Linked DNA regions of Canis lupus familiaris. The protein of the gene in region 2 interacts with the protein of the main gene of each other region in a biochemical or structural test. Links are inferred from orthologs where the notes say so. Each region holds a gene or a part of one and is shown on either strand. Other genes may lie near its edges.

Region 1 (4,434 bases), on a different chromosome or scaffold from region 2:
CCGCCCCCGCCGCGCGCGCCGCCGCCATCTTGGCGCCCCGCCCCGCCCCGCCCCGCCCCGCCCCCCGCGCGTAATTGACAGCAGCCGCCAGCAGCGCGCGTGCGCAGACGGCAGAGGCCCGAGCGCCGGCGCGGCGCGGTACCTTGGCTGCGGCCCGCGCGCCCCCAGGAGGACCGAGGCGCCGGGCGGGGACGGCTCTGCGCCCGGGAAGCGAGGACGGAACGCCCCGCACCGCCCGGGCCACCCGAGGGAAGCCACTGCTCCGCCTGCTCTCAGTTTCCCCTTCCAGAACAAGAGTCAGCCGTCGCCCCTCGCCTGGCTCTCAGGCTCATCCTCTGCAGGGCACGCACGGGATTGAAGTTAGGAGCTGTGCGCAGAGCCCGAGCTGGACACAGTAACTTGGCGCCAGCTCTTAACCTCTCCAAGACTTGGAGACCTCCTGTAGCGAATGGGATTAATCCACGCAGTGCCCGGCACTCGAGGCAGGGAGCTGGTGTGGTTATGGAGACGGGGCTCCGCAGGGGGGTGGGAGGGAGGGATGGGCGCTGGCCGTTGGGGCTAACAGGCTGGCCCTGGCCCTAGAAACTATAGTACTGGAATGGGGAAGCACAGACACAGAGATGGAGCCCTAACCCAGGGGAAGACCCCCACCTGGAAGAGGGGGATGGTAACCCAGCTGAAGGGGAAAAGTCTAGCACGGATGGGGCATCTGTACATGTGTGCACTGAATGACCAAATGCAGCTTACCCACACCCAGAGCTAGTGCTGTTCTCCCTGGGGAGATGAGAGGTCTTGGCTATGGATGCTCTGACACCCCTGGGCCCAAGGGCTCCAGAGCACTCTGTGCTAACGTGGGTGAATGACTTCCTTCTCCGGTGGTTACACAACGCCATACTCTGAACTTGGCATTCGAAGCTTCTCTTGAAAGGGCCTCTCTTTGCTGCATACTGCTGGCCAGCACCCTCCCTCCGCAACAGGCTTAGCTTAAGACGGGGGCTGCCAAGTCAGACGTATTCCGAACAAATCACCAGCCCTCCAGGAGCTTAAGTTTCCTCATCTGAAAAATGGGAATATTACCCATCTTCCTGATTGGATAAGAATTGAACTTCTGTGTGTAGGGGCCTGGCCTGGGGCCCACTATTTTTCAGCACCTGTCCTGTTCTTGGCTTATGTTTTCTTTCATTCAAGAAGACTTTCCAGAGAGTCCCCTAGGAACCATGGGGGACAGAAGGAAAAAGATGTGGTCCTTTTGCAGCCCTTCATCTGCTCCCTGCACTGGGCAGAGGACACAGGGATTCAGGCCAGCCTGAGATCACCAGGGCTGGGGGAGGGGGTGGAGGATACTGCAGGCTGGGGTGGGCTGGGCCGGCGGGGAATGAGGTGGGGCAGGGCTATTTAAGCCCAGGGCTGGCTGGCAACCCCAGCAGCCTGCCCTGTGAGCCGCCAGCATGGATGACATCTACAAGGCTGCGGTGAGGGACTGGGCTGGGCAGGGCTGGGGTGGATGGGCCCACTGGGGCCTCACTCAACTCACGATGGGGGGTGAGGTCACTCTACAAAGGTAGTGGGGACCTGGGAGAGGGCCCATGCAACTTTCAGCCCAGGCCCTCAAGGGGATGGATGGTGGATCTGGCATTCTAATTCCAGGGTGTAGAAGGAGTGAGGGGTTTAGGGTGAGGGGTTCAAGGTCTGGAGAGGAGCTTTTTGGAGGGTGGAGGAGGTCATAACTTTTAGCATCACGTCTGCCCCTGTCTCCAAGTGTCTGTAGTCTGTGTCACTATCTTCCAGCCACATCTCCCTTCACTTGTGTCTGTGGTTTTTGGATCTTTGCCTTTATCAGTCTCTTTCTATCTCTTTGTTCCTCCTCGTTGTCCCTCTGAGTCTCTGCTTCTGTTTCCCTGTCCCCACCTCATCCCCCTCTCCGTTTCTGCCCCTCACATTCTGCTCCTCACCCCACCCCCTACCTCCAGCTCCTTGGATGGCTGAAGATGCTGTGGAGGGTGGGACAGTTTGAGAAGGGGGCTGGTGATCCAGAATCCTGAGCTGGAAAAGGGGCTTAGAGGTTTGAGGTAGGCAGGGAAGCGCTAAGCATGGGGGAGACACAGGGAAAAAGGAATCAAGAACCAGGGCCCCCACCCCAATCAGGCCTGGAGGGCTCAGGGGTCAGTGGTTTAGCCAGGGGTGAGGGCTGGAGAGTGGTCACCCTGAGTCCCTGCAGCGTCCTAGGGTCACTGAGGGGCCTCAGATACTAGTCCCTCCCAGGAGTAGGTGGTGTTGCTGACCTCCCCCTGTCCCAGAGGCAAGGATGTTCGGCATAGACAACTGTCCCCAAGGGAACCCCTCCCTCAGCCCTGAGAGTGGAGTGCAGCCTCACTTCCGGGCAGGGGAGAGCTAGAGCTGGCTCTAGGGCTGTCCCTGCCTGTCCTACAGGAGTCCACAGAGCTGGCGGGGGAGGGAGCTGCCCTCCACCCTGTGCCCATACAAGGCCTGGTGGGGCTGGGGACTAATTTTGGCTCCTGAGGCACCAGCAGGCCAGGGGGCCAGATAATGCTGCCCCACCCCCTGCATGCCAGAGTCCCCAGAACAATCACCAGGTTTAACTTTGTCCCCCGTTAAAAATAGCCCAGTGGCCGTCCAGGTCAGGTTACAGTGGGTGGCTTTGCCTATCCCCACACTGGTTTTATTGTCCCAACCTGAGGGACAGCTGTCCCTCAGGCCACCCAGCTTGGATTTCACCAAGGGAGCCGAAAGGGCATTGAGTGGTCACTGACTATTGTTACTCGGGGTCACCTTGGCCCTGGAAGGGGCGCCCACCTGTCACCCTGGCCCTAAGCCCAGCCTCAGTGAGGCCAGCTGGGTCACCTCAGGACTTCGGGGGACAGGGAGTGAGGACTGAGGACTGTGACCTGGGAATGGCCTGCCTCTTCCTGGCTTCACTTTCCCCATCTGTGGAATGGGTTGATTTCCTTAATAGCAGCCAAGTCCTGAATCAGTCCTGAGACCTCTTTTTCTCTCCAGGTAGAACAGCTGACAGAAGAGCAGAAAAATGGTGAGTGCTCCAACATATGTGGGGGTACGACAGGGCCAGGCTGGGGGAGCATGAGGACCCCCGAGGCCGGGGTCCCTCTCACCGCAACCTCAGAGGTCTTGGAGGGAAAAGGCAGTTGGCAGATGGCCCCAGAGGTCTGGCCTTCTGGGATCCTGGCTTCTGAGCCCTGACCACTCTATCTTCCCCTCCTTCCCTTTGGACACAGAATTCAAGGCAGCCTTTGACATCTTCGTGCTGGGCGCCGAAGATGGCTGCATCAGCACCAAGGAGCTGGGCAAGGTGATGAGGATGCTGGGCCAGAACCCCACACCCGAGGAGCTGCAGGAGATGATTGACGAGGTGGATGAGGACGGTGAGCCCCCTGCCCCCCAGACCCTAGACCCACATCAGCCTCCAGTGCTTGGGCCCCAAATCCTGGCTCTGCCACTTATTACTCTGTGCCCTCGAAGGAACTTTTAACCTCTCTGAGCCTCAATCGTGTCATCTTCTGAAATGGATATAATGACCACACTCGTCTCACGGAGTTGCTATGAGAATGCATGCAGCAGGGCACCTGGGTGGCTAAGCAGTTGAGTGGCTGCCTTTGGCTCAGGGCATGGTCTTGCAGTCCCGGGATCGAGTCCTTCATCAGGCTCCCCTGCAGGGAGCCTGCTTCTCCCTCTGCCTGTGTCTCTGCCTCTCTCTCTCTCTGTCTCTCTTGAATAAATAAATAAAATATTTTTAAAAAGAGAGAGAATGCACGCAGCAAGAGCACAGGGGTTTAGTGTCAAGAGCATTCTAACCATCCCTCACTGATGGCTGGGCTGCTCACCTTGCAGGCAGTGGCACAGTGGACTTTGATGAGTTCCTGGTCATGATGGTTCGGTGCATGAAGGATGACAGCAAAGGAAAGTCTGAGGAGGAGCTGTCCGACCTTTTCCGCATGTTTGACAAGTGAGTGCATGACCCAGGATCTCTGACCTGACTCTTGCAGAGGTGGGGAAAGGGGGACAGTCTTGTGACCTCAAGGCCTCAGTTTCCCACTCTGTGCAATGGGAAAATGGGATGTCCCACCCCATTTTCAGTGCTGGCCCTGCCTTGCCTCCTGGTATCATGGGTGGGGCTTCTTCCCTTCCTCTGGCCCACACCATGAGCTCTGAGGTCCCCTTCACATCCCCGCCCCCGGCACAGAAATGCTGATGGCTACATAGACCTGGATGAGCTGAAGGTGATGCTTCAGGCTACCGGTGAGACCATCACGGAAGATGACATTGAGGAGCTAATGAAGGATGGTGACAAGAACAATGATGGCCGCATTGACTATGACGGTGAGGGGGGGCAGTGCCCTTGATCCCTCCTTGCCCACACCTTGCCCAGACCTCTTCTCTGACCTAGGTCTACTCATC
Region 2 (4,424 bases):
CTGGGCAGGAGCCGGGGCTCCAGCTTCAGGCTCCCGCTTACTGACCACCTGGCTCCAGGTGAGGCCAGCCTCCCTCTGCCTCCCCCTCCCCTTTCCCCCTCCTTCTCCTGCTGTGGCCTCCTTCCTCTTCACCTTCCCCCAAGCCTCCGCACCCCCACAGACTGCTCCGCACCCCCCCTAAGTCTCCCCCTGGATGTCCCCTCAGAGCCAGCACAAGGCCTCACCTTCAGCAGGAGTTTCCGGGAGGCCGTGATCTTGGGCTTTCTCTGTGGGTGAGAAGGGGAGAGACAGGTGGTGAGGGAGAGGCTGCACACCTGGAAATCTGGTGGAGGCCAGCACGCATGCCCGCCCAGTTCACCATCACTACCCAGAACCCTCGCCACAGGGTCCCCTCAAGGGCCCCTCGTCTTTGTGATTTACCCCCTCAACTTCGGGGGATGCTGCTGGAGTCGGCGACCTTGACCTTGACCTAGAGGCTGAGGCCCTCACTTTTCAATCCTGGTTCTAGTGCTGGGGGGGGGGGGGGGGGTCCAGTGTGGGTCACATGACTTCTATGGGCGCCTCCCTTCCTCGTCCATAAACAAGGATGATGTTGCCACCCACCGTCCTCAGTTCCCGGAGTTCCTACACACAGAATGACATCATGTGACATCACGGACGCGAAAACGCTTTGGGAGGCACGGTTAGCGCCTGGCAGTCGCAGCCAGCACCTGGGTGACCCGCCTTGCACAGAAGCCCTGAATTTCATACACGAAGAAGTTTATCCTTTTAGGCTTCGCAACTTTCTTTCTTTTTTTTTTTAACATCGACACCATCCATATTACTCTTTCTCAGGTTTAAAAACATTGTTTTCAAAAAAAAACAAAAAACATTGTTTTCTCTCGAAAATGAGTGAAAATATCAGTGAGGCTGACAAAACATGAGAGGCTCCTAACTCTGGGAAACAAATAAGGGGTGGTGGAAGGGGAGGTGGGCAGGGTTCGGGGTGACTGGGTGACGGGCACTGAAGGGGCACTTGGCGGAAGGAGCACGGGGTGTTATGCGATGTGTTGGCAAATTGAACTCTCATAAAAAAATTTTTTTTAATTAAAAAAGGGGAAAAAAACATTGTTTTCTCTTCCTACTAAAAAATCCCCGGCAAAATAAATAAATAAATAAATAAATAAATACATAAATACATAAATACATAAATACATAAATAAATACATAAATAAATAAATAAAATAAAAATCCCCGACATATTCCAGCCAACTAGACAGGCGCAGCCATGTCCCCTCAGGGGAGAGGATAGGGAGGGTGCTCACCCCCTCACCCGCGAGACTGGGAGGCCTTCTGAGCACCCGTCGCTCTTTGGGACCCAAGGCTGGCACTTTGGTGGCGGCCAGCGAGCAGCCACCTTGGGGACGTGGCGTGCAGGGGCCTCACCCCGGTGGCTACTCTAGTGTGAAAGCAGAAGCCAATGGCCTTTAAGGGAGGAAAGGGGGGAATGAATGGGCTTCATGTTGTAGGCACGGAATGTGGGATTCCCAATCCGACTCTTCAGGGTGGTTGCTTCGTCCTTCCGCCTCCCAAAGTGAGGTCCGGGCTACATCAGCCCAGCGTGCTTGCTGGAGAAACGGCCTGCCTCCAGAATCACTGCCTGTCACTGGGGACGCCCCGTCGCCCACCCGTGGCAATGTCGTTTCCTCACTGCTCGGTGAGCTCAGAGGCCACCTCGTGTGACTACCCATCAGTGGCCACTCATTTTCCTACTGAGAAATTCACAGGACTATGGAAAAGTGGGGCGTTCTATTGTAACTGGGAATCCCTGTGCCGGTCCCCGTCCACCACGGCTGCTAATTCCCACCCTTGCCAGTTCAGAGTCCACAGCCCTGTCCCTGCAGCTCCTCAGCCCGGGGGGTGCAGAGGCTCTGCTCTCAGTAACCCGAATAAATCTGGGTTGTCGAAGGGTCAGAATTATCTGAGACCTGAGGGGAGTGTGAGGACACCTCTTTGCTCCTCTCTCAACGTTTGGTCACTGGGCAGCGGGTAGAAGAACCCCCTTCTTTCAACAATCCCTTGTTGCTCTGGCTTGGCACAGGATTGGCTCTGCAAGAAAAACCCCAGATGGTCCCTCAAGGCTGGACAAGTGATCGGAGCAAATGAGGAGGAACGTGCCCAGCGCTCAGCAAGGATGCAGAGTCACACCGGCCGTGCTGTAGCCCTAACCCCGGATGACCTTGTGGTGAGGCCGTGCCCACGGAAGCCCCTGCCCGGAATCTTCACTCGACATTTGTATTCTCTGGCGAATATGCTCGGCCCCTGGACACCCCCCCCACCCGCCTCACCCCACCTTCACCAGTCTGAAGACCTAACCAGGAAAGACATACCCCAGATCTCACTTACCTCGCTTTAGGGATCCATCACAGGAAGGACAGGAGAGAGCAAAAGACAGAGCGTGAGCAATTCGTATCACATTTGCAACAGCAGAACCACGTAGACGAGCTCGGACAGGGGCGGAGTGGTGCCAGGCACACAGCAGAAGGAAATGAGGCATCGGGCAAGGGGACCAGCTCAAGAGTGCCAGCAGGACAGAATGAAAGTCCAGGGGGCCTCGAGACTACTGGAGGTCTTGCGGGGAGCTGCGGCCCGTCAGCTGGGGGAGGGGGGCGCTCAGGGAAGCCTCACCTCGGGGTTCCAGCATGTGAAAGCTTCCAACCCTGGCCTCGTGGGCAAACTCCCAAAGCCATGTTCATCTGCTGGGCCAAAGTCACATCGAGGCCCAGCACACAGGCAAGCCACCTGAGCCGCCCAGAGACACCCAGAGGTCTTCCCCAGGCAACCTAGACGTGGGTTCTGCTCAAAGTCTAGGACACGTGGTGTCTCAGGACTGTTCCTGTTCTAGAACCTGGCTTCCTGGGGGCTGAGCTGAAGGTGCCTCCCCTCTGGGGCCAAAATCTGCGGCAAAGGGCTTGGCCGACGGGGCGGGGGCGGCGCTACTTACACTTCAGGCATGGTGGCGGTCGGGGGGGGGGGCAGCACCTGGAGGCACAAAGCAATCATCAAGGTGGGAAAGGTGGAAGGCCTTCCCCAGCCCCAGCTGGGCCCAGGAAGAAGGATTCCCGGGGAATGGATTCCAACAGGTGAGGATGGGATAAGCACTTGTCCATTGGTTCTTTGTTTTCATTCATTCACTCATTCGCTCACAAGAAAGAGCAATCTTACAAAAGCAAAGAAGCAATGGATATAAGAACCAAAAGGAGCTCTGTTGGACAGGTATGTAGGCGGGGGGGGGAGGGGGGGGTATGCAAACCACGGCCCCCAGGCCAAATCTGCCGTCCCCCACCCCCACCCAACCCTCCTGCCTCCCGCCTCTTTTTAAAAAAGCTGAAAGGGTTGTAAAATAAAGAATATGCAACAGAACATTGCGTGGCCTGCAAAACCTAAAATATCTACTATCAACCCCTTTCCAGAAATGTTTGCCAACCCCCACGGAACAGAATGGAATCCACAGAAATCTGTCTGAAAACTGAGATCGTGGTGCCCTAAACACCATGCCCCGTTCAGAGTGTGTCCTGGGGCTGAGGGTGGTCACGGAAGTCCCCAGGGAGGAGACCGCCTGAAAGGTGGATGGTGCAGAGCCAAGATGGAGCACAGGTAAGTGCCACCTGGCACAACTCCAGGAGGTGCCGTGCACACGCTGGGCCATGTCCTGGTGCCCGGGGTGCCGTGCCCAGGCCCGGCAGTGTGACCGACACCCCTGGGTAGAACGGTGAGAGGCCCCACCAAATCCTGCCTTCTATGCTCATCTTTATCCTGACCCGCTCCAGGCCAGCTCTCCTCTGCAAGAATCGGGGTTAGACAAATTGTCCATTTAAAAAAAGCTCTTCACCCCTTTGTTCAAACCAAATTCTAATTGGAAGCAAAACAAATTCCAGCAATAAGAGCAAACGGCACAGGCTGAAGGGGTACATAGGAGCCCCGTGGACCTCTGCGGGGGCCCCTGGCCATGGAGCACTATGAAGGCCCCCGATGGGGGTTGTTCTGGGGCTCCCTTTAGTCCCGACAGTTGGAGGACCCAGGCCAAGAAGGGGGTCCCTTGAGGCAGCACAAGGGGCGACTCCAAAGCCAGACCCAGCTCAGCGTCCTGCGGGGCCTGGACCAAGAGCGTTCCCGTAGAGGGCAGGGACTGTGCAAAAGATCAGGGGAAGGAGAAGGATAACTCGGGTGGGAGCAGGTGAGCGAGGCGGAACAGGAATCCCCAGCTGGGTCCCACAGTGAAGGATAGGGGAGGCCAGTGTGTACGCCTCAGGGGGCATGGGGCGCCGCAGGTCAGGAGTTGGAATTTGCTCCAAGAACCTGGCTTGGTCCCAGCAAGGGCAGAGTCTCAAGGACGCTTGTAAAGCGGCTACTGGTGATTTCATTCCGGAGCCACCTCCCACCTC

What was found.
Region 1: the proteins of TNNI1 (region 2) and TNNC1 are reported together in a solved structure, tested with the Homo sapiens proteins (2 studies listed by BioGRID, with this or other methods). The link is inferred for Canis lupus familiaris from reciprocal best matches to the Homo sapiens genes TNNI1 and TNNC1.

The regions. Positions count from the first base shown.
Region 1 is NC_049241.1:37,719,861-37,724,294, forward strand, and holds the start of TNNC1 (troponin C, slow skeletal and cardiac muscles), read left to right. Parts: upstream 1-1,341; 5' UTR 1,342-1,448; coding exon 1,449-1,472; intron 1,473-3,018; coding exon 3,019-3,049; intron 3,050-3,254; coding exon 3,255-3,401; intron 3,402-3,867; coding exon 3,868-3,982; intron 3,983-4,219; coding exon 4,220-4,356; intron 4,357-4,434. UniProt on the Homo sapiens protein: Troponin is the central regulatory protein of striated muscle contraction. Tn consists of three components: Tn-I which is the inhibitor of actomyosin ATPase, Tn-T which contains the binding site for tropomyosin and Tn-C.
Region 2 is NC_049228.1:1,600,336-1,604,759, reverse strand, and holds the start of TNNI1 (troponin I, slow skeletal muscle), read right to left. Parts: upstream 2,906-4,424; 5' UTR 2,736-2,905; coding exon 2,668-2,735; intron 2,390-2,667; coding exon 2,386-2,389; intron 267-2,385; coding exon 225-266; intron 1-224. UniProt on the Homo sapiens protein: Troponin I is the inhibitory subunit of troponin, the thin filament regulatory complex which confers calcium-sensitivity to striated muscle actomyosin ATPase activity.